Linked DNA regions of Drosophila melanogaster. The protein of the gene in region 3 interacts with the protein of the main gene of each other region in a pairwise test. Each region holds a gene or a part of one and is shown on either strand. Other genes may lie near its edges. The genes, in order: CG17855, CG6689, CG4730 and tap.

Region 1 (8,092 bases), on a different chromosome or scaffold from region 3:
CTGGTGGCAGCCAAGCCCAGGCTCTCAGTGCTAACGAGAACTTTGCCGAGGTGACGGTGGTTCCGGTAGCTACTGCCGGTCCATGTGCCACGCCTTGCCGCACTATCTACCCGTTCCTCATACTGCTATTCTTCATGACCTTTTTGGTGGCCTCTACGCAGATGCCGCTGCTTATGATCGTGTTGAGATCGGTATCCGAAGAGGAACGTTCCTTTGCCCTTGGCATGCAGTTTGTAATATTTCGACTATTTGGATACATACCGGCTCCCATATTGTTCGGAAATCTAATCGATTCTACTTGCATTCTCTGGAAGTCGTCCTGCGGCGAGAAGGGCGGTCGCTGTCTCATCTACGACATTGAAAAGTTCCGATACAAGTATGAATATATCATAAAATATATGAATATATAAGTTTTATTAACATCTATTTCAATTTTTTTTAGATATGTTGGGCTGTGTGCATCTGTAAAGCTGATTGCCTTGGTTATCTTTATGGTGGATTGGTGGCTGGTGCGAAGGCGAAAGCAGCTTGAGAAAATGAAGCCGCTTAACGCCAGCGATCCAATAATCGGATCCATCATTAGCCTAGACAAATGTATGTTTATTATCGAAATTACTAATTATCTATATCTATATAATTATATATATATCTATCCTTTTCAGTATTTGAAGAAAAGCTGTCGGGTGCCGAGCCGTCTACTGCATTTGTTGGTGGTGGAGGAGAGCTGATCATACCCACAGATATACTTCGTCATTCCCGCAATGATTCACGCACCATGCATATGGATTATTGGTAAGTCCTATCTCACATTTATACTCAAGGACTATGGTCTTAACCAAATGTCTTTCCTGCAGCTACGACAAATGCGGTCGTGTGGTAACACCGGCAAACACCTGCAACCAGCCACAGACCAAGTCTAAGAAACACTTCCGTAGTGCCTCTTGTGACGTGAAGATGATCAAGAGCTTTGCTCGAGATCACAGCTCATCTAGCGGACCTGCGGATGCGGCTGGTCAGGATGCTGTTGGTGCCAGCACAAAATACAAGAATCTCAAAAAGTTCCAGGCGCACACGCGCAATCACTCGACAGACCTACACGACCCCAGTCAACCCATCCGATATATTCAGAACCAACTTCGGCCGCAGGACTGCCCCGAAGAGGATGATGACGAAGAGCTGACCACCGGATGCGGACACTTCGTTAAAAAGCACTCTCGTAACCACAGCTACGACCAAATCTACATGCCCAATAACATACGCTTCGATGCGGACTTCCTACGACACCCCCATTCACATCACAATCCCAAAAAGAATGTGAATGTTTTAAAGAATGTGGTTTCGGATGTGGGCAAGCTAAAGAATTCAAATGAAATAGAAGCTGGTGGAGCTGGATCACGTGGACATTCCCGCAACAACTCGAAGGACTTGAACACCAAAATTTCTAGTGCAACTCCTGCTTCGGGTCAGGTAGTAACGGATGCCAGTACCACGGGCCTAAGTGTGCTGAGACATCGGCGAACCAATTCCAAGGATTTAAATTATCAAGTGCTGCCGGAGTCTGCTGCCTCCAGTTCGGTGTCAGGGCACGCTCATCCTCAGCACACGCGAAACACGTCGCACCACAAGATCCAGATCGATGACGATCGTAACGAGCTCATCAACGATAACGATGATGAAGAGGAGGAGCGTTCCGCGTGTGCTTAGTGCTAGGCCATGTAGCTATAAGCTAGGATTTTCGATTTGTGGCAACATCAGCAATGTCTCCATTCCCGGCGGCAATCGCCTCATCGTACTTTGAGTGTATGTGGTTCATGCCCGTTTCCTGATGAAGTGACTCGTCCCTCAGCTGCTCATTGTACTTACGACCGAGTGTTCAAATCTACTAATAGAAGGCATCTGAAAATAGAAATCTTTTGATATATACAACATTCAACCAGAATTCGAATCCGAGTCAGATACGATTACGAATCCTTGCAGATAATATTTATGTAACCAGGCGATAGAATAGAAATCCTAGAAAGCAACTAGCATATTTTAAGGTAGGAGTAGATCGTTGTGATAGGAATATTTTGTATTGTATTTTAGTGGAGTGTAGATTAGATCCGTAAAAAGTCGATTAAGTGTTTGAAGTCTGCTGCATACGTTTCGCTTTATTTCGACTTTATGCAATCTCGGTTTCGAAGTTTAACGATTGACTGAGAATCAGTTGGCGAAAGAAAAGAGAAACGAATAGCGAATTACAATGTTTTAATAATCCGAACATTTAACCATTGTCAATGGAAATTGTGCTGTGAAACAATTTGTGAGTATAGAAAACAAAAATTAACGAAAACGTTGAATTAGAAAGAAAGTGAAAATACGCTGAATGTAATTCTTATGCAAATACATCATTTAGAGAATCTTTGTGGACAAAATAGCGATGGGTTCGAATGAAGAATAGGTCTGGAATAGTTTTATGAAAAATCCTAAATTCCCTGTTTTAATGGTAGCGAGAAAATCAAGTGTCTAGCCTAGATTTTAAAACCGAATGATGTACTTTAAATGCGATAATGCCTTAAAAATATCAATTAAATATACACGCGGATAATATCAGTATCTCAACTGAAATGGGAATTCAATCGATCCATCCGGTTGTTTTCCTACGCACTGCCCGAGTGCAAGACCCCCAGTAGTCCTAAGTGATGCAATCTAGGTTAATTAGTAGCAACTATTTCTATGTTTACACCAACCAGCCACATACAGTAGGAAAGGAGGCAGAGAGGAGCTCCTCGAGCACTAAATAGATACATCCATATAAGAAATATATGTATACAATTGTACGTTAATAAGTACCTACGCGTAGCTAATAATTCGTATCGGGATATGTGTTTGTACAACATAACTTATACATTATTGAAGAGCGATTTTAAAACGGACTACAGAAAGTGAGTCTTAGGTGCAAAAGATCATATATATATATATCATATATATGTTTACTCAAAAAGTGTGTTTTAAGGAATACATATTTTTACTTAGAGAAATATTGCAAATAAACTAATAAGGACATGTATGAAATGAAAACAATGAGACTCCTAAAATGAAAAACAAAATAAACCAAAACTGCATTAAACAAGTCAATTTGTTTTTTCTTAAAAGACATTATTTTTAACGAATTTTTTAGTTATTTGAAATTTTGGCACAGTGGCGCCCCTACAAGATGGTACTCGAATTAGGGAACTACATAAATGGTGTGACCATGATGTTTGCAAGTATCTTATATCCAAGACACAAACCTAACGTACTTTAAATATAGATAACATTTTTATTAAAAATTTTTTTATAAATTTGGTTCACCATATAATATTTAAATTAACATTGTTATTTAAGCAACAAGACGAGCAAGAAATAATTAATTTTTAACGAGCCTATCTTTTGATTAGCATTTCTGATGATTAATACAAAAAACTTTTTCCATCAATTTGGGTTCCACATAGGTAAAAAAAATAATAGTGTTAATTAAATTGTTAAGACTTAAAATTTGATCGATTCTATATGTTCGTAAGCAATCGAATAACTTAACAAAGTAACTCTGCCAGCGATATCCACGCAATTCAACTCGCTGATAGCTTATCTTTACTGTTTTCAGCAACAAAAGATTTTTCAGTAGCTGAGTAATTTTTACCACTACGAATTGAAGTAATACAAATCGAACAAATGGAGAAACGTGCTACATCTACCATGCAGGTTCTCTATGCAGAACTGGCTGCCGGTGCGTATGAGCAATGTCGTTGCGTATACGCCATGTATTGAAACTCCTTTGCAGCAAAGTCCAGAAGTGCGGAGCTGGAGGAGGAAAACATTTTGCTGCGCCATCGACTAAATCGCGCATCTGCCAGCCACAGCACCAATGCGGCCATAAATGTGGAGGCCAAGATCATGGTCTTCCAATTGGAGGAGGAACGAGATCGTCTGGTGGAAACACTGCAGAAGCACAAGAAGAAGTACAACAAACTGCATGACGCTTATCTGGAGAAAGTGAAACGTTGTCGTGCTTTGGAGGAGATGTTTAAACGGCAGAAGACGCTTACAGGCTTGGTAATGAAGTCCTCTTTAGATCAAAGAAATGCAGGTGTGTTAGGAAATGGAATTTTTGCTTAAAATTAGATCAATACTCTAAAAATCTACTAGAGCAACGAATGGCTATGGAGAAAAGGCAGTCGGCCCAAAGCGATGTCAACGAATTGAACGAGCTGAAGGCCAAAGTAGAAAAACTTCAAAGAGCCCTTGATGAGTCATACGACATTATTGACGAAATGGATTTTGAACTTGAGAGCGTAAGACGCTTTAGAACGTATTAGCAAGCTTAAGTAAAAATGATTCGTTTAAAGGTGGAATTACTGGAAATGCAAAACCAATCCTTGCGGGACGAATTAGCCGCTTTTAAGGCAAAATCAGAAGAAGGAGCGACCAGTCTGCCGGCCTCGCTACCCAACGATGACGACCCACCGCCCAAATATGAGGAAGACTATCCCGGACAGCATCATAAAGCTATGCAGGCCCGGCGCTGCTCCTCTAGCAGTGAATCTGACCCCAAGGATGATGATGCCGACGCAGAAACTATGGAAAGAGCTGCTTTAACCCATAGCGTAAGCTTTAATCCTAATTCTCATTAATTATATATGTCTGATTGTTCCTTGTATTCAGCTCATACAAACTGTGGAAACAGAGAGCAATGCCCTAAGACGGGAATTGTTGAGATCCCGCTGTCAAAGAACAATTCGCGCCAAGTTGGAGAAAGAAAGCGAGCCTGTTGATTAGGATAAGTGGCGGGATTAATCTTATCACATAGCTCCCAGCCAAAAACTAAACAACCAACCAATAGATCATAATAACAAGTAGCCATACTAAAGCTGATGAAACTGATCACTAAGTTTACGCACAGAGAGCAATAACTAGACGGCTGGACTAACCCAGATTCCGAACCAACTACGCCTAACCAGTGCACATACCAGAATTTGCTTTTAAGGTTCGACAAACACGCTCGGCGGCTGCGTTAAATCAAAACTTTTGCGATATAGTAACCCGGTTTCTTGGACTGCGCGCAGAGAAACCCCTCGTCTAATGGCGATTAATTAAATTATTTGCTAATGCCATCAAACGAGTTGCGGACAGATCACCTGCCAAAAGGATCTGGCCTCCGAGCTGTGAAGGTTCCAGCCCCCGACTTCTGCCCTCCCATCCCATTTCCAATTCGACGTGGTGCGCTATCCATTAAAACATGACAATTATTTTTATGACTTAATGCAGTCGGAGGCCTTGTTGCCCAATGCCTAATGTTGCAAATTATTGACAAAGTAAATTAATCTCCACATTTGTTGGTTGGACCAGACAAACTAGCGCGACACCTCTAAGATCACCATCAAGCTCTCCCACTTGCGGCATATTCATTTGGATGCTTATCGAATGTGCGTCGCAAAAGAAAAATCAAATGCGTCATGGGTAAAAAAACTACAAGATTTTATAAATTTAAGTTTTAATAAAAATATTTTTTAAATTTCTTTATTTTGGATTCGGTGGATTTAGAAATTTCTTAAAAATATTAAGTGAGTTTTACGTCGTTTTCATTAGAAAAGAAGAATTAGGAGAATGGAATGGTTACTATTTCGTTCGACATGAAGCCTAACTTGGTTCCTAATTTTTTGCAGTGCATGGCTCAGGCTGGTGCGAACCACATTTTGCATATTTCTTGTTTAATTATAATTTTTCGGGGCTCACTTAATGAGCGCGCTCCACTTGGTCGGCGATCTTGTTTGGGAGGCGCGTGCCGCAAAGCGACACGACGCCTTGGGTGGATTGCCACATCCAAGTTGGATCGAAGCGTAGCTCTGGCCTGGTAATCAGTTGGCCAGCTTGTATATAAGCAGCCTAGGACTACCCAGATTAATTACTTCGATTTCGATCTTTGTCGAGTGCATTTCAATACCCAAAGAGTTCTGAAAGGACCAAAATACCACAAAATGATGGGAAAAGTGAGTGGAGTGGAGGAAAAAGGGTGCGATACAAAGGATTCTAATGCATAGAGTGGTGTCTTCCTTTTAGGTTACCTATTTGTTGTGCCTGTGCCTGGCCAGCGCCGTTTGGGCCATTGAATTGCAGGCGGAGCCGGACTACGGACCAGTGGCCTACGAGTTCCAGTGGTCGGTGAACGATCCCCACACCGGCGACATCAAGAGCCAAAAGGAGTCCCGCAAGGACGACAAGGTCGAGGGTGTCTACGAGCTGATCGATTCCGATGGCTATCGCCGCATAGTGCAGTACAAGGCGGATGATCACAACGGTTTCGAGGCAATTGTCCAGCGTGAGCCCACGGACATCAAGATACCGTTGCCTGAGCCACCCAAGAAGCTCCTGGCCGCCAAGATCCTGACTCCCGTGCTACCGGTGGCGCCACTCGTCCACTACGCCGCCCCCAAGGCCATTATCAAGCAGGAGCTGTCCGCCGGGAACTATGTCTCTGTATCCGGACCAACAGCACAGTACAAGTACTAAAAGGATCTAATGACTGACTTCAGCTGCATAAACCCATTAGGAAACCCGTCTTGACCCGGGAAAACTCACTGCCATACATCATAATTTAGTTACAATTAAGACAATTGAGTGTACATACAGACAGCTTACATTAACCTACAATAAAGATGCATCCCATTCAATCTGTTCGCAGAGGAACACAAAAACTTGGATTTTTTAATATAGGGAATATACTTAAAAGCTGGGTGAGGGTATTTTATTGATATAAAAAAAAAAATGAGTAGTTGAGTAGTGGTTGTGTTGCAAACATACTTATATAAGTGTGAAGATCAGTTAAGAAAAATATAAGCCAAGTGAAGAAAAACCACATTATGACAGTTCACAAGTGTGACACAAAAAAGTGAAAGATTATTAAAACCAAAAAAAAAAAGTGGTGAATGAAATGCTTGACTTAGTTCAACTCGCTTGTGTGTTTGGCTTCTTCAGTGAATTCGTATCATTATATTTGCGAATTGATGTCTCATAAAATGATGCGTCACGATACAGGTGGCTTCGATACTGTGATAAGCATAAACTAATGCTATCGCCGCCAGACGCGACATGGCCCATAGATGCCTCTAATCTCACGTAGCTGCTGCCACTTTGGGGGCGTCCAATTACCGGCGCAGTCGACGTCGTCGATGGCGATTCTATTGGATTTGGCTAACGCTCTGACCAATGCATCCATGGAGCATCAGTGCGAAAATGGTCGGCTGCCCGGAGACACGACAACTACTGGTCACATTGCTATTGACCCTTGGCTTCTGCCTGGGGGGAAGCTCAAAGGATACAGTTGCGGATGCGGATGCCAAGTGGATGGCTCCACTTAAGCAGTATGGGTATACGCCGCAGCATCTGAAGAACAAAGTGGAGCATGGTGAATTCACCACCTTCGAACTGGGCACCCCCAACTACCAGATTCTCAATCCCGAAGACGAACCGGAATACATAACTGCGGATCAACCGCATTATCAGGAGATGCTGAGGCGACTTACCAGTGGTCGTAGTAAAGCTGACACCATTGATGTGGAAATGGCAAGTCGCACGGAAACGGTTCGCGAGACTTCCGATCCGGGTCAATCTAAAAAACCATCTCAAATTCAAGTGCCAGTTAAACCGAAGACACAACTAAAACAAAATCGCTGGGAGAAACTAAGGAAGCGCAGCTCCATCGAAAAAAGACGTGACCACAAGGAAACCATGGAAACTGATGTGCGGGATGATCAAAGTTTCTTCCCTGATATTCAGGTTTACCCCGGCTTACCCTTCCAAAGTCGTGTAGCAAATCTAAATTAATCATAAATAAGTCACCTCATCCAAATGTGCAAATGGCTTTGATTTTAAGTGATCTCTGGTGATTCGGACAATGAATAAATACTAAAAGTATAAAAGTAAAAAAAATAAAGTACTTTTTTAAAGGACTACTTTAAATAAATCGGAGTTTTTTGCTATTTTTCTTTGTAAGGCTAAAATTGTTATGACTTTTACTCGCAATAATGAAAATAGTGATGTTGCTTATTTTTGTTAAAACAAAAAAGATTAAGAG
Region 2 (8,440 bases), about 14 Mb from region 3:
CGAGGGGCAGATTGCTCTGCGACGTTGCATCCCTAAACCGTGCATTGAAAACCACAGCGCGAATGCTTTTTAGGCCAGGCGCACCAAAGGCACCGAGCCCGAGGACCCAGCACCAGTGGCGCAACAAGGCCAAGGACGTCGGGAAATATGGAATACATAATTGAAATTGATATTTACCTGCGAGTGGGCAATCACACGGATCACCTTGCAGTAGCGCAGCATCTTGCGGAAGTCATTCTCGATGCTCTTCTTGCCGAGATCATCGGTCCACTTCTTGCTGGCCTTGGTGAATGCCTTCTTCTTGCTCTTGTACCTGATATGGACGATGGTCAAGTTGGAGACGCAGTGGTCAGAAACGAGCGTAATGTAGCAATCCATTGGGGTGTCGCAACAACTCCAACTTCTTAGCCGCGCTGTTTATGTGGGGCGAGATAGAACAGGAAGTGCGCCTCATCGCAAACGAATGGCGAGCGGAGATGCAGTCTTCCTTGTCATGCTCACTCGTCAGGCAATTTCAATTAACCAGGGGCTTGCTTGTGCGCCCCATGATCAAGATTAACCTGACAGCTCACACAACGTTTAGCGATTTGAAAAGCTCTCTCAGCAAGCTGATCGAAGAACTTTATGATTTTGTTTTACATTTAATAGGGGTCTATATTACACGAGGGAATCACTGTTGATCGGAAGTTCGCACACACACAAAACAGCGCACTGGTTGATTTATACTTCAAAAAACAATAGATATTGTATTGCAGCAAAATCAATCGCTTATTTTCTAAGAGGCCGATCAGAAGGAAGGCAGCAGATGGTAAAAGGCTTCTCAACAATAATTTGCTCATTCAGATACCATCGTTTCATCATCCAGACTCGAGTAGAAAGCACGTGTCGGCTGCCATTTTGTGTGTGTGTACACCCGGTGCAAAGAAAATGGCGACAAATGGAGTAGGAAGAACGACCACGTGGTCCTCGGATACATACCAGTTCTTGTAGAAGCGACGACGGCACTCCTCGGAGAGATGCTGGGCCCAAACGTTGACCAGGGCACGCAGACCGAAGGGAGTCTCGATGTAGCCGACAGCACCGACCACAATCATGGGCGGGGTCTCCAGAACGGTGACGGCCTCGACCACCTCCTTCTTGTTGATCTCTGCAAGAGAAAGAAAAGCCATTAATACCGAGTAATGGTATTCCCTAAGAGAAATCATCTACAGAGTGGGCTTGGTCAGTCCGCCCTAGTTGAGATAATCACGGTTAATCATATGTGTTCTAACCATAAATCTTCTAGTATACTCATCATGGAAAGTAGTTGTTAGTTGATAGAGGTGGATGCTGGTACTTACTGGAGCCAGGACGATCGGCCTCGCGCACAATGTGGGTCATGCCGGCCTTGTAGCCGATGAAGCAGGTCAGATGGACTGGCTTGCTGGCGTCATCCTTGGGGAAGGCCTTAACCTTACCGCGATGGCGAGCTGAGCGCTTCTTGGGGTAGAAGGCCATGGAGCCATGGCGGGGTGCCGAGAACTTACGATGAGACTGCAAAATGAATGGAGAAAATCCATTAGCACAATGCGTTTCTGCACTTTGAGGTTAGGTGAACACGTGGATGTTGCAAGTGCAAATTATGCATTAAAATTACGCTTTGTTTGTATTAGTTACATTTAGAGTGATTATAACGCTACTGTTTCCAAACTAATCAATTATTTAACTTGCAATCATCCATCTTTTTGACACATCACATAGTAATATAATTTATTTTATCCGATCGAGATGCTCACCATGTCTGTTCTCTTCAGACGTGTAAAACGGAAAAGAAACGATTCCGACTTCCGTCTCGTTATATAGTGTGTAGTGTGCCCAGTGGTAACTTTGCTGAGAAATACACGTTTGGTATATTTTTTGAGATGGGTTTAAGGTCACTTTTCGCAGTACGGTAACACTGCTCGCCATGGATTTTGAGGGATGCCACCCTCATACGTTCTTAACACGGGTTACTTTTTAGTTGGGACACCAACCATGCAATGTTGTGCAGCACTGAAATGTTCAATTCTCCAATTTATTTTTGTTACTTATCACGCAGGCTCTCAAAAATTATCAATAGTTAAAACAAAATTCATAGAATACCATTTTACTTGTTAAATAATAACCAAATTGCTGTAAACAGGAAAATCAAAGATTTTTTCGCACCATTAAACAAAGGAATTTTTGTCTGCCCCACGCACCGCCACACTGGCGCGGCGTTTTGGCGCATTTTGCGTTTGGTAGTGTTGGTGCGAAAAATAAAAATACAAAATACGAAATTAGCAATGTCGACGCTGGAGCTGTGCGAAAAGTATTTTGGGACGCGCGATGTGTACAAGCTAATGGAGCTGGCCCGGGGCGCCGGCGAGAAGGAGGTGAAGAAGGCATACCACAAGCTCTCGCTGCTCGTTCATCCCGATCGAGTGCCGGAGGAGCAGAAGGCGGAGTCCACCGAGAAGTTCAAGGTGCTATCGAAGCTCTACCAGGTGCTTACCGACACGCAGAAGCGGGCGCTGTACGACGAGCAGGGCGTGATCGACGACGACGATGAGAGCGAGTCCAAGCTGTCGTCGTGGCTGGAGTTGTGGAGCAAAATCTTCAAGCCCATCACCGAGGAGGATATCAACAACTATGAAAAGGAGTATGTGGAATCGGAGCTGGAGCGCACCGATCTGAAAAAGGCGTATCTGGGCGGCAAGGGTTGCATCAACTATCTGATGAACCATGTGCCCTTCATGAAGGTGGAGGACGAGCCGCGCATTCAGAAGATCGTTCAGGATATGATTGCCAGCGGCGAGGTGCCCGAGTACAAGATCTTTACCGAGGAGCCGGCAGCCAAGCGCAAGAAGCGCCACCAGAAGTACGCGCGCGAATTCAAGGAGGCCAAGGTGATCAAGGAGCGTTTGAAGCGCCGCCAGAAGGAGAAGGACGACCAGGATTTAGCCGACAACGGTGGCGATTTGCAGCAAATGATCCTGGCACGTCGCAATCAGCGCGAGTCAAACTTTGGCTCCCTAATGGACCGCCTGATGGAGAAGTACGGCAACGAGGACGACTCCGACACTGTTGACTTCAGCGCCTTCGAGAAGAAGAAAAAGAAGTCCAAGAAGCCCGCCGCCAAGCAGGAGACCAAACCGAAGCTCAATGGAGTCAAGGCGGGCCGTGTGGAGAAGGGCAAAAACTAGTGCCGTCCTCCACTGCTCATCGTGCGCTCCTTAATATATATTTATCGTGTAGTTTAGGCTTAGTTACTCATATGTATTTATCCATGTACGTATACTTGTATTTTTCGCTAGATTAATACTAAGTGGACATAGAAATGCGCTACCATTATTACCCAAAAGTTTTCCTTGGTTCGCAAGAAAATCAAATCAAATAAAAGAATACAACGTTATCACTGCGAAATGCTGCTATTCTGATATAAAAAAATTACATTTTTTTCAATTACTAATGAAATACAGTGTGTGTGTGTGTGTTTGTGGGTTAAATAAAGCAGAGTTTTTGTAAGAACATCAAATAAACGTAGTTTTCTGAATTTTGCAATTTCAAATAACTGTTGCATTTTGTGACGTCATCGATGTAACCACCTCGAATTGTTGGCATCGTGGCAGCGCAACATTTGGTCACACTGCCGGATTATTTAATATAAACATTGCGCACTTTATTCTAAAAATATGCGATGTGCCGTGCCCAATTGCCGAAATTTCTCTGACTGCCGCTCCAAAAGGAATGCGGCTCAGCAGCAACGCTTGGGCTTCTTCCGCTTCCCCAAGTGCCCGGATACGTTTAAGGCTTGGCTAGCATTCTGCGGCTACACGGAGGAGTCCTTGAAATTGAAGAATCCCTGCATTTGCATCGAACATTTCAAGGATGAGGACATCGAGGGATCCCTGAAATTCGAAATGGGTGAGTTCCATGTGTGAGCCGCTAAAAATGTCCAACTGAGTCCTTGTCTTTCGCTCAGGATTGGCAAAAAAGCGCACTTTGCGACCAGGTGCAGTTCCCTGCGTGAACAAAAGCCAGGAAAGTGGATCGGATAGAGCCCGTAAGGAGAGGTCACAGCGCCGCAGAAACCAGGAGCTAGTGGCTGAGCTATTGGCGGAGGAGGAGGCCAAGCTAATCCACCCGGAGGCTACTTCATTTGAGCAGGATAGTGTGTATTTATCGGAAACTGTAACCATGGAATTGGATCCACTTTCGGGCGAGGAAAAGTTGGAAGAGCTGCAAAAGTGCCGCACATGCTACAATGACTTCACCGCTGACTTCAGGGCCAAGGATCTCTTTGACCCGGCCAACAGTGTCCTGCTCTTTCACATCGAAGTCATAAGTGGTGTCTGGGTTGGTTATTCGTACATTTTATAGAGCAAAATAACATGTATTGCGTCAAAAATCTTTTAGATCAGTCACAAACCAGACGAGCCGCGCCTCATGTGCCCTGCGTGTAAATCGGCCCTGGATCAGGCCATCGATTTCCGGGAGATGTGCATCAGCACCGAGCTCAAGCTCAGCCAAGCCAAGCCCTCAACTGATGAAGTGCAGATCGAGGCTGAGAATGAGAATCCAATATCATCGGATCACGATTTGATATCTGATACGGAGAACACTAATGTGGAAGAGATTGAAGATGCAGGTGGAGATCATGTTGAAGATGAAGCGACATCAGATGACCAAACAAGTCAAGAGGCAGTCGACGAAGTCGCTGAATCGCCCGCCGCCCAGGATCCACTCAGTGTGGCTCTGGGGGCCAAGATCTTTAAGGAGCTATTAGATCAATATACAGGGAAGGAAAAAGCAAGACTCAGGAAGGGAGCACCAATCGCGAGTAAGCCCAAAGCTAAGGAAAAGGCAGCTGGTGAACAGAAACCGAAGCGCAGTGCCAACCCAAAGACCAAAGAAGAGAGGAATCTTATACGGCGCGCCCAGCTACGCGCCAAGCCGCCGAACTTTGTGTGCGATCAGTGCGGCCAGGCGTTCCGCATGTCACACAATTTGCGCATCCACATGCTGCGGCACACTCGCACCAAGAACTACCAGTGCACCGAATGTCCAAAGACATTCTACGACGCCTACATGCGCAACATGCACATACGCATCCGTCATCGGGGAGAAACTCCCTTCGCCTGCGGCTTCTGCAGCGAAACATTCGCCTATCCCGGAGCTCGCCAAAAGCACGAGAGGTGAGTGGTAAATGTACACAACTAACATGCATGCATCAACTTTCTTTTGTACTTATGGCCATCCATTTCAGCGAGGTCCACAATGCGGCGCCTCGTCTCATTGTGAAGCGCATCAATCCCAAGCCCATGCCCAAGCCTCGAGAAAGTGTGCGATATCAGTGCAAGCTGTGCCAAAAGCACTACGCCTCCAAGTACGCCCTGGGCTGGCATATCAAATCGCACACCGATGCGAACGCCTACAAGTGCCAGCGGTGCAGCAAGAGCTACTCGGATCCCAACAAGCTCAAGCGCCACGAGATGACGCACGAGAAGAGGCCGCTCCAGTGCGACGTCTGCTTGAAGGGATTCTATCAGCGGACGCGGCTGCGGGAGCACGAGCTCATTCACACCGGCGAACGTCCATATTGGTGGGTGTTCTCGAGCTTTTAGATCATTAGTTTCCTAATTAATATAATTGTGCTTGTTAATCATTACAGGTGCGAGGTTTGCAATGTTAACTTTCGCTACAAGTACAACATGAAAAGCCATGCGAACAGTAAAATGCATCAGGATAATGCTCGCAAATTGGGCGTAGTACAAATTGTTGCAACCGAATGAAATGCGTGCTTCTTTTTCAATTTTCACTTAGTTGGATTTATGAATTAATGGCGGTTGGATTTGATTTTCTTTTCTTTCTTCGTTCGTTTTCGATGTGACTGGAAGAGTTGATGTGCTGAGTAAAGTTGCCGGCGCGCAGGAACCAGAGATCGCACACCTCGCAGCTGAGAAGTACGGGGAAATTAGATAGAATAATGCGAAATTACTAAGAGCAACTCACTGGAAAGTGCGCTCGCCCTTCTTGATGATCTCCCACTTGGATTGCGGCGCTCGTCCCTTCTTGCAGGCCTCCCTGTAAAATGATTATAATCATTTATAATTCGTAGCTTTAACTGCTGCGTAGGACGCACCTTTCATGTCTCACGCGCGAGCTGTTCGTGCTGTACTCCAGGCCGCAGAAGGTGCAGGCGTAGGGACCCTCCGTGTGCTTCAGCTGGTGGCGCCGCAGCAGGTGGAGCGTGTAGCACTTCTGGTGGCACTGGTCGCACTCGAACGGCTTGGTGCCCGTGTGCCGCAGCAGATGGACATGGAGATTGCTGGTGTCTTTGAATTGCCGGCCGCAGTGCTCGCAGATGCAGGGCTTGGCGCTGGGTCCATTGCGGTCCACAATACGCTTTGGCTGCTTATCATCGATGACTTTTACATGGATCAGCTTTCGGCCCACGCGCATTGTGTGCTTCTTGGACTTTATTTTGGCCGTGTTCTTGCTTCTTCGCTGTGCTGGCTCGTTGGTAGTGGTCGCCACTTCAGTCTGTGCCTCTCCATAGTCCTCGGGAAGGGGTAGGATGTCCTCACCCGGTGCATTGCCATAGCTAAGAGCTTGTTCAAGCTGATTTTCGGGATACGGCGCTTGTGGGTCCTCTTCCATTTGCAACTGGATGGGTTCTATTTTGATGTCACTGGCCGACATCAGCTCGTCAATGCCCAGCGGATCCGGAGCAGCTGCCTGCTGGACGCGAAGTTGCTCCATGGCCGCTGGAGCCTCGCCGAGATTCATTCTCCTCCGCCGCCTGGCGAAGTACTTCTCGATCTTGGCACAACGCCGCCGGAACTTTTGCACCTGGCTGAGCAGCACCTGGCAGTCCGTACATATGTGATTGGGCAAATCCTGGACATTCTGCAGCTGTAAGATGGGAAACAATCGCTGGTTGGATACGGAAACTACTGAGTGGAATTGTTCACTTACCCAGCAATTTGTGATGGAACGGACGCACTGCAGCAACTTTCGGCCCGCAGGCGTGAAGATCTGAAGGCATTCATCGGCCACGACGGTCTTGCCGCAGGTGCGGCAGAACTCCTTCATTTTATGCAATTGATTTGCCAATTATTTAAATTTATTTGTTTGACATGCGTAGGAGTGTGACCGTTGCTCAGAATGACAAAATACACTTTGAATGCGCAACGGGCACCTTTATCCAAAAATGTTTCGATAGTCAAAACAATTGTTTAATTCCATGTTCACAAATGTGAGAAGTCTAATTTTCCCAAGAAATGCAGATTATTCATATTCAATATCTACGAAATCCGTTATGAATAGTGTTTGGTATTTTTATACACTCCACCACCAACTATCGATAGGCAGGCGAGCAACCCGTGCGATGGATGGTAACTCTGGCCGTTTCCGCCCTCCATCTTTCTGCATTGACTTTTCACGATGGTGAGTTCGCTGCTACTAAATTCTGCGAAAATAATAGTTTTTCACTGTGAAAGTGGCCCGCAAATGGAGGCAAAATATGAGTGAAGTGCCGCCCCAGGGCTGGGCCATGAAAACAACACCCAGCTCAAGTGGGAAAATGTGAAAATGCGGGCAAAAAACAAAAGCATGCCTTAACCTCGAAAGCAAGCAACTCCAGGTGCTGCTCAATGGTGGTCAATGGGGTTTATTTATGTCTGGGATTCAAGTGCAAGTTGTTAATACAAGCCCGTTTTTCTTTGCAACATTCCAGCCGCCTAAGAAGGACGCGAAGTCTTCGGCCAAGCAGCCGCAAAAGACACAAAAGAAGAAGGAGGGATCCGGCGGCGGCAAGGCCAAGAAGAAGAAGTGGTCCAAGGGAAAAGTCAGGGACAAGCTGAACAACCAGGTGCTGTTCGACAAGGCCACCTACGAGAAGCTGTACAAGGAAGTGCCCGCCTACAAGCTGATCACCCCATCGGTGGTCTCCGAGCGTCTGAAGATCCGCGGCTCCCTGGCCAAGCGTGCTCTCATCGAGCTGCGCGAGAAGGGTACGTTTCCTTACGCTTCCTACCTTTTCGTTAGCATAAATCCTAATGGCACTCTTCTTTGCTTTCAGGTCTGATCAAGCAGGTCGTGCAGCATCATTCCCAGGTCATCTACACACGTGCCACCAAGGGTGATGAGGCGTAAATGAATGTTTTACCTTTTGCCCATCTCGCATCGCCGTAGTCGCACTCGCCTTACAATAGAACTCTGTATCGATAGCACTACGATGCCGCTGTGTGTGTAACGTTGAATAAACTTGCTTTCTTATTGATGTAAGGGACATTTGCGTGATGTTTAATTGATATAAAGATATACCCTCTTATAGAGGGATGTATCACTGAGCGCTGGTTTCAAGATGTCGAGCCGGAGTTATACGGCTGGGAATGTAAAATATCATATAGCCCAAAAACTATTGTTCTTACAAATC
Region 3 (7,990 bases):
CGGGCCACACGCTCGGCATTCTCGACGGTCACCACTTTCATGCTCTCCACAATTCCGGGCACAGACTCATGTTCCAACATGGCGTACTCGCCATCGGTGTTTTGGCGGATGAGCACCACGTCAATGTCGTGATGGCGGGCCGGAATGCCCGGATACGACTTGCAGTGCACCACATTGACGTACAGATCCAGCTCGTTACGGATGGCCACGTTGCGGGAGACTTCGGTCAAGGATTGGGACTTGGTCTCGATGTTGCCCTTGAGTGCCACTCCGTTCCTCTTAATCGATGTGATGGCATAGTCCAGATCATCGTTGCCCTCGGTGGAGGGATCGATGTCGATCACCTCGAAATCGATGGGTGCACCGCAATACCGGAAGATCTCGCGCACATAGCCCATCAGTTCAGGACCAATGCCGCCGCCCGGCAGCATGGTGACGGCATGACGACCTCCGTACTGTGCCGAGGGAATATCGGTGCCCTGTTCACGAAGATATATACGGATGCTATAACCTCAATTGGGGGTGAGCTCCAGAGGTTGCACTCACCGTGACTTTCTTCTGCAGCGCCGATTTGGTGTGGGCCACATCCTCGGTCTTCTCCTTGGTCACCAGCAAGGGATAGCCCTACAATTCGAATCGATAAGTACGATCAATAGGATCTGGCAGGCGCGCATTATGTAATTTGCCTTTGTGGGCCAATTTTCCGGCCGAGAAAACTTACGCGAGTGAGGAACGGCGTCTGCGTCTGCAGCAATCTCTGGGTCAAGCGAAGGGCCATGATTTGATCCTTGGATTATTGTTTTCTACCGCTGCAGTTGGTATTCTACTATCAGTTAAATCACAGCCAATTTTATTCCACTTGGCCAAAACGGTGCTGCTGGCTCTTGCCCAGAACCACGGCTTTTCAGGGTTGTCAAGTAAATGGTATTGGTTTTAAAATAATTACTTTGGTGTAAAAAAAATGTATTATAATTATGTGTTTTTGTGAAAAAGCTAACATTTCAATACCATCCTTTTTTTAAGTAACACTTTTGACCAAATAATATATATCTTACATAGAATATATTTATTTGTTATGGTTTCAGCATCTTGGCAACTCTACACCAAGCAGCTGTTATCTGCAGACCTGCCAGATCAGCAAAAAGCAGCTGACTGTTACGTTAACAACCACATTTTATGTTTTTGTTTACTAAAACAACTTTAGTTAATACTCCGACGGGATGACTTAAAGTGGATGCCCCAACATCATTTCTAGGACATGGCAGCGGAATTGGGTCTGGAATCGGCCGCGGGGTCCGTGGCAATCAAAATGCAAGAGCCGGTCAATAAATTAAAATTTTTCCATGCACTTGTTGTAAGTAGATGAAAATTAAATGAAAAGTTAGTTCTTAAATAATTAGTTTTAGGCAGGAGGAGTGGCTGGAATGGTAGTGGACATAGCGCTGTTTCCCATAGATACAGTGAAGACCCGACTGCAAAGCGAGCTGGGCTTTTGGCGGGCAGGAGGATTCAGGGGCATCTACAAAGGACTCGCTCCTGCGGCTGCAGGAAGTGCTCCCACGGCGGCCCTGTTTTTCTGCACCTACGAGTGCGGAAAGCAGTTCCTTAGTTCGGTCACCCAAACCAAAGATTCACCCTATGTTCACATGGCAGCGGCTTCAGCAGCAGAAGTGGTAGGATTTCATATAAAACTGAGCACCTCGTATTTAGATCTGAAGAATCTCTGTATCCAATAGTTGGCATGCTTGATCCGAGTTCCCGTGGAGATTGCCAAGCAACGCTCCCAAACATTGCAGGGCAACAAACAGTCCGGCCTGCAAATTCTACTGCGTGCCTATCGCACTGAGGGATTGAAACGTGGTCTGTACAGGGGATTTGGTTCCACTATCATGCGGGAGATTCCATTTAGTCTGATACAGTTTCCGCTCTGGGAGTACTTTAAGCTGCAATGGACTCCCCTGACCGGCTTCGATTCCACTCCTTTTTCGGTGGCTCTTTGTGGAGCTGTCGCTGGAGGCATTTCAGCGGGATTAACTACGCCGCTCGATGTGGTCAAAACCCGAATTATGCTGGCTGAAAGGGAGAGTCTCAACCGACGTCGCAGTGCCCGAAGAATTTTGCATGGCATTTACCTGGAGCGAGGCTTCAGCGGGTAATTATTTCCATATTAGACGCAACTCAAGCTGGTCCTAATATTTAAACACAAATTAACTTTACAAAACTATTTATTACATTTATTAATGTACTTCGATGTTACTTTTCAGTCTGTTTGCTGGCTTTGTGCCGCGTGTGCTGTGGATCACACTGGGCGGTGCATTCTTCTTTGGCTTCTACGACCTGACGACGCGAATCCTTGGCGCCACCAGTACGGATCATTAAAATTAGGGTTATTTTCGTTGTACTTGTAGTAGAGGCACGTAGTTTGCAGTAGTAACTAAACCGATGACAACCACCGTTTGAAGACAACGTGGACAATAAAGTGTATGGAAGACTTTTGAGATTCACTAGGCATTGGAGGCGTTATTCGCTCCCTGTGGAAGAAAAAGGGCTGTGATTGTATTGGGACATTGTCACGAGCTCACTGACATCCTGAATGTGGAGGCGACCAGTGAGGAGAGTAGCAGTAGTCCTTTGATCTCCCAGTTCATCTCCGCAGTCCATGGGCACATCGGAATCCTCCTCATCCACATTGATGTATCCACTTCGCGGAGCCTTCCTGCTCTTTAGGCAATCCCAGGAATTCCGACAGCGACTACGTGACATGGCGTAGACCTGTGTACACCCAAATGCATAAATTAAACAAATGTACATCCACTTAAACAAACAGACTGTGGCGATAACGCACCAGTGCAGCCAGAACGAAAATGCCAACGAGCACGGAAATTGGCAGCCATATGTATTGACCGTCGTCCGGATGCAGTATGTCCGGTTCAGGACTAATGGTCGTCTGAGGCTCAAGTAACTTCATCGTTTTCAGGGGATGTACAAAGAAATCACAACAACTACGAAGCAAAAAGTTCTCAAAAATTTCAGCGCTCCCAAGTGCTGCCAGACCTCTCGTGAAATAGGTGGCAACCCTAGCACAGCTATGTTTAGTTTTTCTTCACATTTATGGCTAAGAGCGGGGATTTTCAACTGTAAACAAAGAAGTATTTATTAGGTAATCTGAGTAATCTTTTCAATTTGATCAAAATAAGCTTTGCACAGATGGATCCCCAAACATCAAAAGTATGCCAAACGCTTAATTTTACAATAGCAAGGCGAACTGCAGAAGCTCCCGTGAAGCTTGTATCCCATGAAGTCTCACTTTCAGACAGTACTACTTCTTTGGAGCTGAGCAATTGCTGCCGCTTGTGTTTGGAGGAGCCGTATCCCAACCAAATGCTGGACATGACCGTCATCTATGACCAGGAGGCGGCGCTGAGTTACTACGACTGCTACGAGATCTGCACCAAGGAAGACCTGCGGCAAAATCCCAAAAACGAGCCACGAACCTTGTGCAAACGTTGTGCGGTGGAACTGAAATGGGCCTACGACTTCCACAAGAAAATGGCCATTGCCAATCAGCAGTTGAGGGAGATATTTGTGGCAACCGAAGCCAACACGGAACAGGAAGACGACGTGGAGGATGAGGAGAATGAGGCGGATATGAATGAAGAGTTCCTGATGGAAGAGATTGAGGAGAAGCAGGAAACCCCTATCGACAGCTTAGAGGACATTGTGCCACGCAATCGGCATACGGGAAAATCCAACTGCAAGTTCTGCCACAAGGAGTTCAGGAACCATTCCCGCATGGCCAAGCACCAGATGATTCATTTGGCCAATCGTCCCAACTTTCGTTGCAGCCAGTGCGACCGGGTTTACCTCACAAAGCAGGCGCTGAAAGTTCACGTCGATTCGAAGCACAGGCAGTCTGGAGTCCACTGCGACACATGCGGCAAGGTTTTTGCCATTGCCAAAGCCCTGGAGATTCATAAACGCTATCATAACAGAGACTTTCCCTATTCCTGTGATCTCTGTGATCGTCGTTTCGCACAGCGATCCCATTTGACTGTCCACCAGCAGGTTAAGCACTCTGGATCTCGCTTCATTTGCGAGTTTCCCGGCTGCCAGAAGTCCTTTACCTCATCTTCATCTCTCAGGAATCACGAGTGCACGCATACGGCCATGCCATTTGAGTGCGCCCACTGCCATCAGAGCTATCCAGCTCGTAACAAGTTAGTTATTTTGTTTAAAGTGTACATTATTTGAAAGTAACACTCCTTAATAATTTTTTAGACTACGCATGCACCTGGAGCGTAAGCATAACATGGTGGTGCAGATGGAGGACCTGGAGGAAATGCGAAAGTTTCACATCGTGCGCTCCAAGTTGGTAATGGCAAAGATTTACTCGGACCAGAAAGAATCACACCATGCCAAAAATGATAGCGCTGCTATTTCTAAATAAAAAGTATTTAAAACTATTACCAAAACTTAGATAATAGCTTAATCTTACACTAACTCGCATCCCATTTTAAATTCCGTAAAATTGCCTTACAAATATCACATTCAATTTATTTCACACTTTCATTTGGTTATCTTACACGGACAGGGATAGATATTCACATACATATATAGATTTTCGATATCATAGACAAAATAAATGCTGCTAAATCTGGTGGTATACAAGTTCGATCTGCGCCACAAGAATCCTTCAGTTCGACAGCGTTAGGACCTAATGGCATCTCATCGCGGCTTTGGCAAAGATCGTGAAGTCATCCGGATGCTGAGAGGATCCAGTTGCCGTGCCCGTCGTTGTGGTGGCCACATTTCCATTGCCAGCCTCCGCTCGCTTTCTAGAAGTTATCTTCTTCCAGCCGCGAAGGAAGATTTGATTTCGGTACTTGGGCGTGGTGAAGGTGTACAAGAGAGGATTAACCGCCGAGTTAAGTGGCAGCACAAAGACCACCAACCAGGCGTAGATGTCATCGGAGATATTGTAGTTGAAAAAAACCCAGATCTTCATAACGATGATGGGCACCCAGCACAGGAAGTCGGTCAGCACGATGAAAAAGAATCGCACAGCGAATTCGCAATCCAACAGAGTGAGCGGAGTGGCGCTCCTCGTTCGCCATATCGAAATAAGGAGTGCCGTGTAGAGCATCGCAATCATCACCAGCAGCAGCAGATTGACGCCCAGGAACACGAAAGCCGAGTAAAGCCAGCCCATCGGGAAGGCCTCGTGGATGTGCAATGGAAAGCCTGTTAAGTTTAATTTCGTCACTTGGTAAACTACATTTTATCATAAACATTGTGCTCACAGGTTCCGGAATAGGATCCGTAGTAGGGTAGGGTACTGGTCCGCCACAGGAGCACCGGTGCCACAGCCAAGCCCACGCCCGTAATCCAAATGCAAATCAAAGCCAGCCACATCACCCGATTTCCAATGCTGCGATGGCCGCGAAAGGGATCGGCGATCAAGAGAAACCGCTCCAGCGACATAAAAGCCAGGATAAGCATCGAAACCTCCGAGGAGCTCACGGCCAGCGTTCCAATCAGTGTGCACTGCCACGAGGTTATCCAGTCCAGCACAACCCTAAAAGATTGGGGCGTAACAAATGCCAATCCATCACATTTGACTTACTTGTAATACTCGTTGCGGTAGCGATAGTCCTGCACTCCAATGGTGACCAAATAGAAGCCCATCAGCATATCAGCCAGAGCCAGATTCCGAATCACCATTGTCACAGCCACATTCTCATCGCGGTAGATAAAGCGTCCCCATAGGACTAGCACATTTCCAGCTATTGTCAACGTGGCCATCACCCAGGCGGAGTAACGTAACACTGGTTTGCTCAGAAGATCTTGAAAGGAGCTGACTCCATCGGTGGACGGCTTGCACATTCTCACCCGCGGCGTCATTGAGCAGTAGAAGAATCGATCGTAGATGATGTACGTCAGGTTGCGCATTGAATTGATGGCCTCGAAGTCGATGTGATCATACCGAATTCCCGTGAGATTCAAAAACGATATATTCAGTGGCTCCATTAAACTGCTGCTGATGTGAATCGGCATTAGGGCCAACGAACTTAAATATTGGTGAGAAATTAAATGAAATCATATATTCAAATCAAATTCAATCCCGTTTTAACAACTTCATGATATATTTTGTGATTTTTTAAATTAAAACAAACAAAGTATACTCACAGTGCCTCCAGTCGAGTGTTGTGCAAAAATGTTTCGCCAGATAACTCCTTAATGGGATTACCGACAAGGCGGCTGTAAAAAGAAACGCACGTCTTTGAATTATTCGCAGATTTAACGTTGCTCATACGCCGCGTGGGCCACGCATAATGGCCCTGCATTTGGTGCTGATAAAGCTGACTTTAAAAGGTTAAAATAACAATTTTCAGCTTGGCGCGGCTTTAAGCCAAAGCCACAACAAGTTGGCGGGGGCTTTTGAAAGTCACATAATAAAATCCCCGGCAGCGTAATAACGAAAATTCTTATTTAATAGCTGGCTGAGTATAAATCAGTGCACAAACATTGTCTATCAGTGTGTGGAATAGATGCAACTGGCCGGGGCTTTATGTGCTGGCAGGAAAGGACGCATCATTCATGGCAGACAGGATGCGGCACAGTGGTTCCAAAACCACATTCTTTGTTTAAGAACTCTAAAAGTTTCCTTTCAAACTCTGCGAGAAACAACCGATTTATTGACACACACTACGTGTGGAGAAAGTTATTCGGCTTTATTATTATTATGATGATGTTTTCTCCACCGCTCCACCGTGTCACGTCCATGGGAATCGCAGCAGCTGATGCGAGATCTGAGGAACTGAATCTGATGAAGATGCTTTTGTGGATGTGTGTGAGACAGTGGATACTGACGCTGAGCTCCATTGCTTGCACTTGTCTGGTCAATCAATGCCCGAGCGCCAACTGTTAACAGTTTGTTTTTATGGTTTGTCGCCCAAAGACAATGGCCATGCCCACCACCCACGACCACCCACTCCCACCAAGGAGCCCACCAAGTTGGTAATTGGTGGCTGGCTATAAAGTTGCAGCGCGGGCAAAAGCTTAAACTAAATATTTAACTTGGCCCCAAATTGAGCCGTCGAAAAATGGATCCTACCCGGCGGCCAAATGATTTTTATTATGTAAATTTCTAATTAATTATTGAGGGGCAGGCCTCTTGGATCGAGTGGCCTCATGATTTTGCCAGTGCTTCCAAAAGACCGCACTTAATAACTTCATAAATATCCGGCCAAACCAGACGACACACGAGCACAATTAACATATTTCTCTGGGAGGGCAACAAGTTGCAGTGCCTCGTTTATGGGCCTTCGCCCCAATAAGCCCCAAGTAATGCCCATTGTTCATGGACGAGCACATCCTCCGGTGGCCACATTCACGTGGCCCATTTCGTTGGCCCATCGCAAGTGCGTCAGAATCAAAAGGCCTAAGTAAACGTTGGAGGGCCGGCTGGTGGTCATTGCGCATTTAAGAAAATGACAAATAAATGCCCCCTAGTTGGTTTTTGTGCGCTACGTGCAAGGAGCGAAAAAGCATGGCGGAGAAATATATCTCCAATGATCGAACAGGTTTATCTATACTCTTTTTCCAAAATCCTGGTATAATAAAAATCTAAGAATTACCTTAAGGCTAGCATATACTAATTAAGTTTATATCTAAGTTATGTAACTTCACGTGTAAGAATGTACAAATTATCCAACTTAGCATAGCCTAGCATATTGTTAGTACTTGTATATCCACCTGTTTAACTCATTCAACGCACCCCATTTCGCTCCAAGTGCATATTAACCAAATGAAGCCATTTGCGCTTCCCTTGCAAATGACACGTTTTAGTTGTGGATTCTTTTGGGGCAATGTGCTCCGCAGAGAAACTGCGGCATTTGTTGCACTGCTGTGGGGACAGAGGGCGGTGGGCGGTATCAAGGGATTATATTGACCATAATTAACGTCACGGCCGTGTCCAGTGGACAATGCA
Region 4 (8,363 bases), on a different chromosome or scaffold from region 3:
AGTATTTTCGGAAGACGAGGAGGAGGCTGCCTCAAGCGATTCGGAGCCCTACTACACAGGAAATGGCCGCCGGACTCGGGTTAGGGCGGCAGCCATGGTAGCCAATGCCATGTTGTCTGACATGGATCGAAGTGTGCGCGGTGGGCGACGATCGAGCTCTCCAGAGACATCACATCACCAATTTCATACGCAGCCCGTCGTCGAGGAGCAGCCAAAAATCGCAGTCCAGCCTCCAAAACAACTGTGTCTACAAGAAACATCTGCGCGTGTCGAAAAGCGTACGATTAGCGAACTGATGGAGTCACGACCCAAATTTACCAACGAAACCGTCGGTTTTAAGCCGATCGCCGACATATGGAGTTTCAAGAAGGAAGAGCTGCAGAATGTGGTAGAAGACAGCAGCAGCATGATAGAGTGCAGCTCGATATTAAACAAATTCAAAATCTTGAAGGCCCTCAAAATGGCCAAAGCTGCAAAAGCCGCCGTGCAGCCATGTTCCCAGCTTGTTCAAAATATCGTTCGCACGGGATCGGAAACTGAAAGCGTAAACTCAGAAACTTCCACGATGGCTACCCACGACTTCAACGAGGAGGAGGTCAGCGAAGGTTCTACCGGTGTAAGTAAAGAGCTAACACCTTCGCCGACCACAAAGTCTGATTTAACCATGGACCCAGAAGTGTTGCAGCCCACTGGTGAGACCAAGACGCATTTGATCCATGGGAGCCTAGAAACTACAAAAGTGCCACAGAAGACTCCGGAGTTTCTGTTTTTGACCAAGGAGCCCGTGAGAACTGGACAACAGACCCAGGAGCCACTGGGAGATGCCTTAAAAACTAGTGACCTAAAACAGGTCATCCCAAATGGACTGTTCAAAGTAGAGGGACTGGAAGCGAGACAGGCGGCCGAAAAGCCAAAACAAACTGGACAACCGCAACGGGATCTACCGAATACAAGAAAACAAAAAGATAAGCTTATCCACATGCAGCGCTTAGGGAATGCTCAGCTGCCTAATGAAATGTCAACGCCATCAGAAACCGGGACAGAAACCGACACCGCGGAGGAGACCCTTCTGTGGGATGGCAGTGATGAGAACCCTAAGAACAAGTGCTTACAATTTGACTCAGTGAACAACGAATCCAATTCCAGATCTGCAAACGATATTAAGGAAATGGAGACAAATCGTCAAATCAACGAATGCCTGACGCGTTCTTCCCAGGTGTGCTTAACCAGATTGACACCACGAGACATAGAAAAACTCAGGGGAGTAAGAGTTCGTGTTAAGCGAACTAATATGGCAAATTTCTATAACGACCAGACACGTCGCAGCCAAAGAAGGCTCACAGCGAGTCTTAACGGTCAGAGCCGCTCCCACACCGAGGACAGCAATGGATCTTCAAACAGCTACAACTACCGCCAATATGATAGGCGCCGCTTCAAGAAGTTTGTGCACATCACATCGGACTCGCCAGCACCTTCGGAATCGTCCACGCCATCGCCGCGCATGATAGCCAAGCCGGTCTTCAAGCACATTACATCCGATTCCTCGACAGATCTCGAGGAAGTGACTCGGTCTGTTTCTGCGATTAGAAGACGTGGACGTGACCGTGGACGCAGTGGGCCCAAGTGTATAACAGAACCAAATGTGCGACGATCGCCTTCCTTTCAGCCGGATGTGATCGAGTTGTCCTCGGACTCTCTTTCGTCCAACTCACCAATTCCAGCCGCAAACCCCCCCATGAATAACTTTACACATGCAATGGATATGGATCCGCTTTACGAGGAGGCCATCATTCCATTCTAACACGCTGTTGACAAGTCGAGCCTGCTACCGAGCCAGAGGCGATGTTCTACGTGCCCGAAACGAATGCTGGCGAAGGGATGTTCGTTGGTTGCGCAGCAGAGGAAGGGAGCAAGGAAGATGAAGTGTATAGCTGGGAAAATCGAATTCGTCTCGGTTGTTAGAATGCAATTAGCCTGGGGCACACTTGGTATTTGCTTTGGCTACCAAAACGCCAGGATTTTGATGAAATTATTTACGTGTACATCTGTTTGACCAAGTTTCCGGCTCCGGCATTGTATTTCGGTTTTTATTTGGACTGTAACGCCGCCCGAGGGCCTTTAAAAAAGGACTCTCATCGAGTCCAGGACAACACTCAATGGAAAAAGCAAACGCATCCGCACTTCAATTAACTGCCTAATTGATGTGCATTGTGGCTCTAAAAAACCAAATTAGCTACACGCGGCGGAGAAGCTTTGTAACATGGATGACGACGACGGCGACACGTGGCTGCTGGTGTGAATTTAAGTGGCATATATGGGATAGATTTTCTTCTCATGTAAGAAACATTGTTAGTAGTACTTAGCTCTTATAAAGATATTGATACAAACTACCATTAATATTCTGTTTAAAACTTCAATATAAATATATTTATATATATTTATATATATAAATATATTTATATATATATAAATATATTTTATAAGTTACGAAAACACTCATTGTACTGATCATACAAGAAAACTGATTAAAAAATAAATAAATAAGTATACCATTAAGTATTTGTTTATTTATATAAAACTATCTTGGTTTTGAAATCTATAAGGAAATTAATCAAACATCAGCTCTACTTAGTACATTTTTCATAACATACTTAGCTACCTTATAAAGCACTATTAAAGAAAAAATTGATGGTGTCACAATTACTGAAGCAAGGTTTATATTTTTTCAACAAAAGCACTCAATTCATTTCCATTAGGAGGAACTGCCTGAAATGTGGCATATTACTAAATTAGCCCCCTCGACACTCAAGTTCTCACTCGTGCTGGTAATTTGCGGCAATTGCCGCATATCATAACAAATCCGCACGTGGCACCCGTCGCCCACTTGAAATTGCAACTCCGATCCTCCTTTAACAGGATTGCCACAGATAGGAATCCCACATCGGCACACTTTGCCACTTGAGCAGCCGTTAAGACCGCGGCACGTGGCAACGCCTGGGTTTTCTACCAGGAGGATGGAGTCCTGTGGGAGTGAGAGCTTTCCGTTGAATACACATGTTGCTTTTGGTAAGTGGAGGCGGCATCCTGGCCACGTGCCACTAACCCGTTTAGCGACAGGCGTAAGCCCTAAACGATTATTGCGGTTTAGTTGCGAAAGGCGAAAGAGTTGATGGTAATTGAATCTTTTGAATTGCAATCGCATTATTTCGATGTGGCGATAAAACAAAATAACAATTTATTTAGTCCACGAAGCACACATACTCTATATATGTAGGAAAGGGTAAGAAATCTTTTAGTACGGAAATGGATTAAATCTCGTCCGAAAATTATACCTACACCGAAAATATAACAAAGTCGTAATGATCCGAAGATATCATATTAAACAAAAGTATTCCCTATTTCAAATAATTTTTGGATTTATCCTTAAACTAAGTGATTTTTACAAAATATATAATAATATAATATTTCTTCTTTTAATTTAACTATAATATAAAGCATATCTTAAATTGACCAACAATACTACTCATTCATTAATATAAATATAATTAAGTTTAAGCTGTGCAGTAAGCACATTGTATTTAAATAACCCTAGAGGAAGGGTATGACTATAGAGACGAGCTTTGATGATGCCGTTGGCGACACCGCTGATCCTCGGACGCAGACATCCTTCCGATTGGCCTAGAGAGCACCGCTCGCAGCGAAGCGTGAAAAATGCTCGTATTTTGACTGGTAGCGGCGGCCCGCAGAACGAATCTCCATCTCCAGGAAGTTCACCCCGCTGCAGGCAGTTCTAGCTAGACGACGTTGGTGTGTGAGTTGGCAAAAGCCACCCCCGGGCGGCAATCACGGCGCATATCTGTTGGGATTTGTGTCGGGGTTCTGTGCTCTCTACTTTGCGCTATGGCGCCGCCACGACCGACGACAATGCGCCGAGGGTTGATGCCTGTTAGTCCGGACCCAAATCAGCGGGCTTAATGGCTGGCCGGGCACATAAAACCGGTGCGCACTCCTCGCCAGCTTTTAGTTGGTGCGGGCACGCGAGACGCGAAGAAACAACTCTCTCAAAGCGGAAATCGTAAATCGGAAATGTGCTAAAGGATATACACACCGTGATACAGATACGAGATCATGGCCGCCTGCTACAATGCCTATAGCGCTGGATCACAGTCCTTCGAGTTCGACGAGGACGACGACGACGCCTCCTTCGACAGTGGCTACGAGAAGAGTTTCGAGACGGAGGCCCAGTTGAGCTCACGACGCCGCTTGGACTTTGGCACTCCGCCGACTCCGGCGATCCCGCAACCGTACTCCGGCGGCACCTGGGACGCCGTACCGCTCAGCTCACCGCCGGCGGGCTTCGTGGGATTGCTCGATACGAGCAGCAATCACAGCACTCGGAGCGGCAGGACACTGGTCGAACATCTGAACAGTCGGGCCACGAATGGCGTCTTCGATCCGCCATTGACCAGTACGCCGGTGAAGTCGCCAGAGGATCCCAATGCGCCGCGACCGAAACGCAAATATGCCGTCGGCAAGAACAGAGTAACTCGCTCGCGCAGTCCAACCCAAGTGGTGAAGATCAAGCGTTTCCGCCGCATGAAGGCCAATGACCGGGAGCGGAATCGGATGCATAACTTGAATGATGCCCTGGAGAAACTACGCGTCACTCTGCCCTCGCTTCCCGAGGAGACGAAGCTGACGAAGATCGAGATTCTGCGATTTGCGCACAACTACATCTTTGCCCTGGAGCAGGTGCTGGAAAGCGGAGGTTCAATCAACCTGGATCTGGAGAAGCTGCAGAACTTCACGCTGAGTGGTGAGAGGATTACCAAGGAGCTCTTCGATGCTCTTTTCGTGAATCCACAGCCGTATCCCTTGTTCGGACGAATGTTCCCCTATGGACAGGGAATGGCGCCTCTTGCACAGCACCAGACTGCTCCAGCATCGCACGCGGAGCAGCCGCCGGCGATGGGTGGCTTTCAGCACGGCATGGACTATCCGCAGCAGCCACCAGGATTCGACTTTACAGGCAGCATGCGGTTTTACCACCAACAGCAACAGCAGCCGCATCAGCCTCACCATCTGCAGCCTAATCCCCAGCAGGAGTCCAGCCCGCAGCAGTTCTCGCAGGAGAAATACGATCTGTTCAGGGGATCCTTCGATGCAGCTGCCAATCTTCATTCTACGAACTTGGATTCTGGGATTCACCAGCAGAGCAGCTTCTACTCGCAAACACCGCCATGGAAGGACTATCCGGAGGATCAGGCACACGTGCATCCCGTTCCACATCAACACAGCTACAAAAACTTCGCCCCGCAGGTGTAGCACAGTTTTGTGGGCCAAACTACGATCTTAGGGTTTTCAGCGTGATATACTAAAAGATTGCCGGAAATTGCAGGAAACTGATCAAGGGGAATTCCTCTAAGCGATTTGCCCTTGACTTACTTTAAAAACATAACTAAAGTAACTTATGGGTCCTATCTCGGGATTTCCCTTCCTTACTTTTCTCAACTTTCCTGCAATCCGTTGATATTGGTAATAAGCGAGGCACCTAATTGACTGCTAAGATTATCATCAAGTTTGAAAATGAAATATCTTTAAAAATTGTATATTTCACACTTGCGCTAATCTTTGAACTCAATTAGTTTCATGTTATAGAGGGATCCTCAATAGATTAACCAATTTAAAGTCAAACATCCAAAGTTAAGCTTCACGAACTCATTATTAATTCATATGAATTCCCATTATATTTGTATTCATTGGCTTCCTTCTTGCGGATCTCTGGTGAATATTTGAATTAAAAGTGCTTAGGGTAATCAATTTTCCAAAAAGCACTCTTCTTCTCAACATATTCGCATTCTTCTTGACTATATAGTACAAATCGGTTGTCCATTTAGTGTAAGCGATACGTACCTTGCCATTCTAGATTTAAGACCTATCTATAAGGATTCTTAAAATGAACCAGGTATTAGCCATAATTAACTGTACAATCGATTAAGTGTATGTAGGTTATGCCAGATTCTATATCAGTTATTGCAATGCAAGGAAAGCGAGCTAGTCAGGGCCAGAACTTTAAGGTGATAAGATTGAATTTCGATGTAAAACCATAAAGATTTATTTTTGCAAATAAAGTTGACGATCAAAACGAGCCAGAAAATGGTTTTGCGAGTGGGAAGAATGGACGAACTCCTGGACAAAGTCAAAAATAGTAGCCAAAGCAAACAACCCTGGAATCAGTGTACCGCTGTGTGCGGATTTCAGGTCCCAAACAAAGGACTTAAATTCAAATAAATATTGTATATTGCAGGGCACATAAAACGAATGGCTTTGTGTGTGTGCACTGCAGCTTGTTCTTATCGTAGGGGGCACTTTTCGCCCTTACAATTCGACATGGGGTGAGTTCAAGTAGAAACCGAACTCGAACTCCCGGCTCGGCCTTCATAGCTCGAACAATGGAAGATTGCCGTCACCTGCCACACAATTACAAAACGAATGTACCAACAGCAGCAGTCAGGACCAAACAGGGAATCCTGAAACATGAGCTGTGAGCCAGTGGACCTGCATGAATGCCACTCAAATTATTTAGTTGAATGAACCGAACCGGCAAGAGTCGAGGGAAATGCTTTACTGCTTTACTGCCTAACTGGGTAACAACTGACTGACTGACGTTTTCCGTTACGAGAAAAGGGTAAAAAGGTGGTAAAGATGCTGGAAAGCCGGTGAGGAATTCGCAATCTCAACTGAAGATTACAATAAGACAGTCTTATCCGTTAATAGAGCTGTCATACTGCAAAGCCTTACATTCAAAGGTTTTAAAGTTTTAAAAAAAGGCGTAGGTTTGCCTAATGCAACGTAAATTGAATATTGGGAAAGCAGGATATCTTTATCAGCAACTTGTATGATTTAATTTCAAATATCAACTACTAACCACCACTTTTAACAAAAAGATTTAAAATTACATATTATTCGTATGCATACTCCATTAGAATTTATATTCATCATTCAAATATCTTAGAAATAATTTTAGGTCTAGCCATCCTGAGCATTCAACTATGTTTAAGTTAACTAGATATATTTGCTGTCGGTAAAAGATTCGCTCATGGTTAGTTATTGGGGTTATAAGCGGGAATTCGTCAGTTTTTCCACAACTAAGCCGGCGTTTGTCATTTGAGCAGCTTTGTTGGAGGTGTCGGGATTTATCTTTGCAATAATCATTATTATAGACCGGCATGGGTCCTGGGTTCTTTGGTCCTGTTGTGCTGCAAAGGCGCAAATACGCAGCGGGTGAGCCAGCTAAGCTGCATTCAATTTCTGGGACCCACTCGCCTCTCCTCGAGGGTTGAGGATGAGGATGAAACCTGGCCCGGATGGGACTCGCATCATTAGCGGACGGGGTGGCTGCGTTTCGATGGCTATCGGCGGATCAATGACGACATCTATGCCCTGACTCCCTTGCCCGAATGCTAATGCACTGCGAGGCTGGAAAAACAATTTGGCGATGGCCATAAGGCGATAAGGCAACCAAAATGGAAACAAATTGCCATGGACATGCTAAAAGGCGCAAACACAATGGATTGGCATCTTCGGCTGCGGCAAGTGCAGGTCCTTGGAGAGCGATTCATATGCGGTCCGATGAGATTGCACAAAGGACTTCGGCTGGGTCGACTAATGGCGGAGGGTTCGACTTGCAGATACCTAACCAAATCAAATTTCTGTGTAAATATACAGGGATTAGTCCACACGGAGAAAACACAAGGGGCCATTTCATACTCTTCCCTATCAAACCGAACACGGAAATAAGGCTGCTTTCTTTGAAGTTTATTTTATCAATTTATAGTATAGATTTATTATTATTTTCCATCAACTTGTATTTTAGATTAACTCAAGCATGAAGAAAAGTAGGTTTAACTGAGGACTCTTCTTTTTTTGTAAAAGATGGATAAATTATCAAGCCATTTGTTTAAAAATTTATTTTATTTGAGTACATGAATTAAGGTAATGTGAAATTTTTATGTGCATTGTCGTTCCTTTTGGTGTTCTAAAACCTTATTTTTGGTTACTCTCAAAGACTTGATGAGAGTCAGAGTTCAACCCTTGGAATGGAAAGCATGAAATATTAAGATCATATATCACACCGTTCCTGACGACACAGCTCCAATTTGTACTTGCCCTTTTGCGATTCCCATTTCGCAAATCGAATTTTATTTGCCGAATTGATTGTTTTACGCCTTTTTAGCAAGACGTTGGCACACATTTTTTTAACCCTTTGCCGGTGCACGTGGTTATTGCAGCCCCGGATCCATTGTTTATTACCCCTTTTTGGTCCTGATCAAACATTGATGGCAGAGATTCGCTCTGGTGCA

Evidence for each region.
Region 1: the proteins of CG4730 (region 3) and CG17855 interact in a two-hybrid assay, tested with the Drosophila melanogaster proteins (one large-scale study listed by BioGRID).
Region 2: the proteins of CG4730 (region 3) and CG6689 interact in a two-hybrid assay, tested with the Drosophila melanogaster proteins (one large-scale study listed by BioGRID).
Region 4: the proteins of CG4730 (region 3) and tap interact in a two-hybrid assay, tested with the Drosophila melanogaster proteins (one large-scale study listed by BioGRID).

Annotation. Positions count from the first base shown.
Region 1 is NT_033779.5:9,536,951-9,545,042, forward strand, and holds CG17855 (uncharacterized protein), read left to right. Parts: upstream 1-3,572; 5' UTR 3,573-3,693; coding exon 3,694-3,748; intron 3,749-3,802; coding exon 3,803-4,108; intron 4,109-4,167; coding exon 4,168-4,313; intron 4,314-4,367; coding exon 4,368-4,625; intron 4,626-4,683; coding exon 4,684-4,797; 3' UTR 4,798-5,530; downstream 5,531-8,092. Other genes in the region: Oatp30B (organic anion transporting polypeptide 30B), read left to right, coding at 1-376, 443-594, 663-792, 855-1,704; Cpr30B (cuticular protein 30B), read left to right, coding at 5,997-6,008, 6,079-6,528; CG13113 (uncharacterized protein), read left to right, coding at 7,225-7,842.
Region 2 is NT_033777.3:11,215,268-11,223,707, reverse strand, and holds CG6689 (uncharacterized protein), read left to right. Parts: upstream 1-3,643; 5' UTR 3,644-3,692; coding exon 3,693-3,924; intron 3,925-3,982; coding exon 3,983-4,356; intron 4,357-4,416; coding exon 4,417-5,195; intron 5,196-5,266; coding exon 5,267-5,602; intron 5,603-5,671; coding exon 5,672-5,792; 3' UTR 5,793-5,810; downstream 5,811-8,440. Other genes in the region: RpL3 (ribosomal protein L3), read right to left, coding at 178-313, 979-1,147, 1,341-1,533, 1,776-1,778; CG6693 (uncharacterized protein), read left to right, coding at 2,304-3,203; CG4820 (uncharacterized protein), read right to left, coding at 5,830-5,956, 6,013-6,084, 6,143-6,915, 6,979-7,095; RpS25 (ribosomal protein S25), read left to right, coding at 7,447-7,449, 7,739-8,015, 8,084-8,157.
Region 3 is NT_033777.3:25,673,755-25,681,744, reverse strand, and holds CG4730 (uncharacterized protein), read left to right. Parts: upstream 1-3,062; 5' UTR 3,063-3,149; exon of another isoform or gene 3,150-3,160; intron 3,161-3,197; exon of another isoform or gene 3,198-3,207; coding exon 3,208-4,217; intron 4,218-4,278; coding exon 4,279-4,447; 3' UTR 4,448-4,673; downstream 4,674-7,990. Other genes in the region: Idh3g (isocitrate dehydrogenase (NAD(+)) 3 non-catalytic subunit gamma), read right to left, coding at 1-479, 547-624, 722-778; CG4743 (uncharacterized protein), read left to right, coding at 1,259-1,354, 1,407-1,673, 1,737-2,152, 2,265-2,379; CG5039 (uncharacterized protein), read right to left, coding at 2,505-2,531, 2,587-2,772, 2,846-2,968; Lgr3 (Leucine-rich repeat-containing G protein-coupled receptor 3), read right to left, coding at 4,715-5,241, 5,301-5,575, 5,624-6,067, 6,187-6,258.
Region 4 is NT_037436.4:17,355,665-17,364,027, forward strand, and holds tap (target of poxn), read left to right. Parts: upstream 1-4,017; 5' UTR 4,018-4,128; coding exon 4,129-5,325; 3' UTR 5,326-6,147; downstream 6,148-8,363. Other genes in the region: CG7692 (uncharacterized protein), read left to right, coding at 1-1,801. UniProt on the Drosophila melanogaster protein: May play a role in the specification of the sugar-sensitive adult gustatory neuron and affect the response to sugar and salt. Regulated by POXN.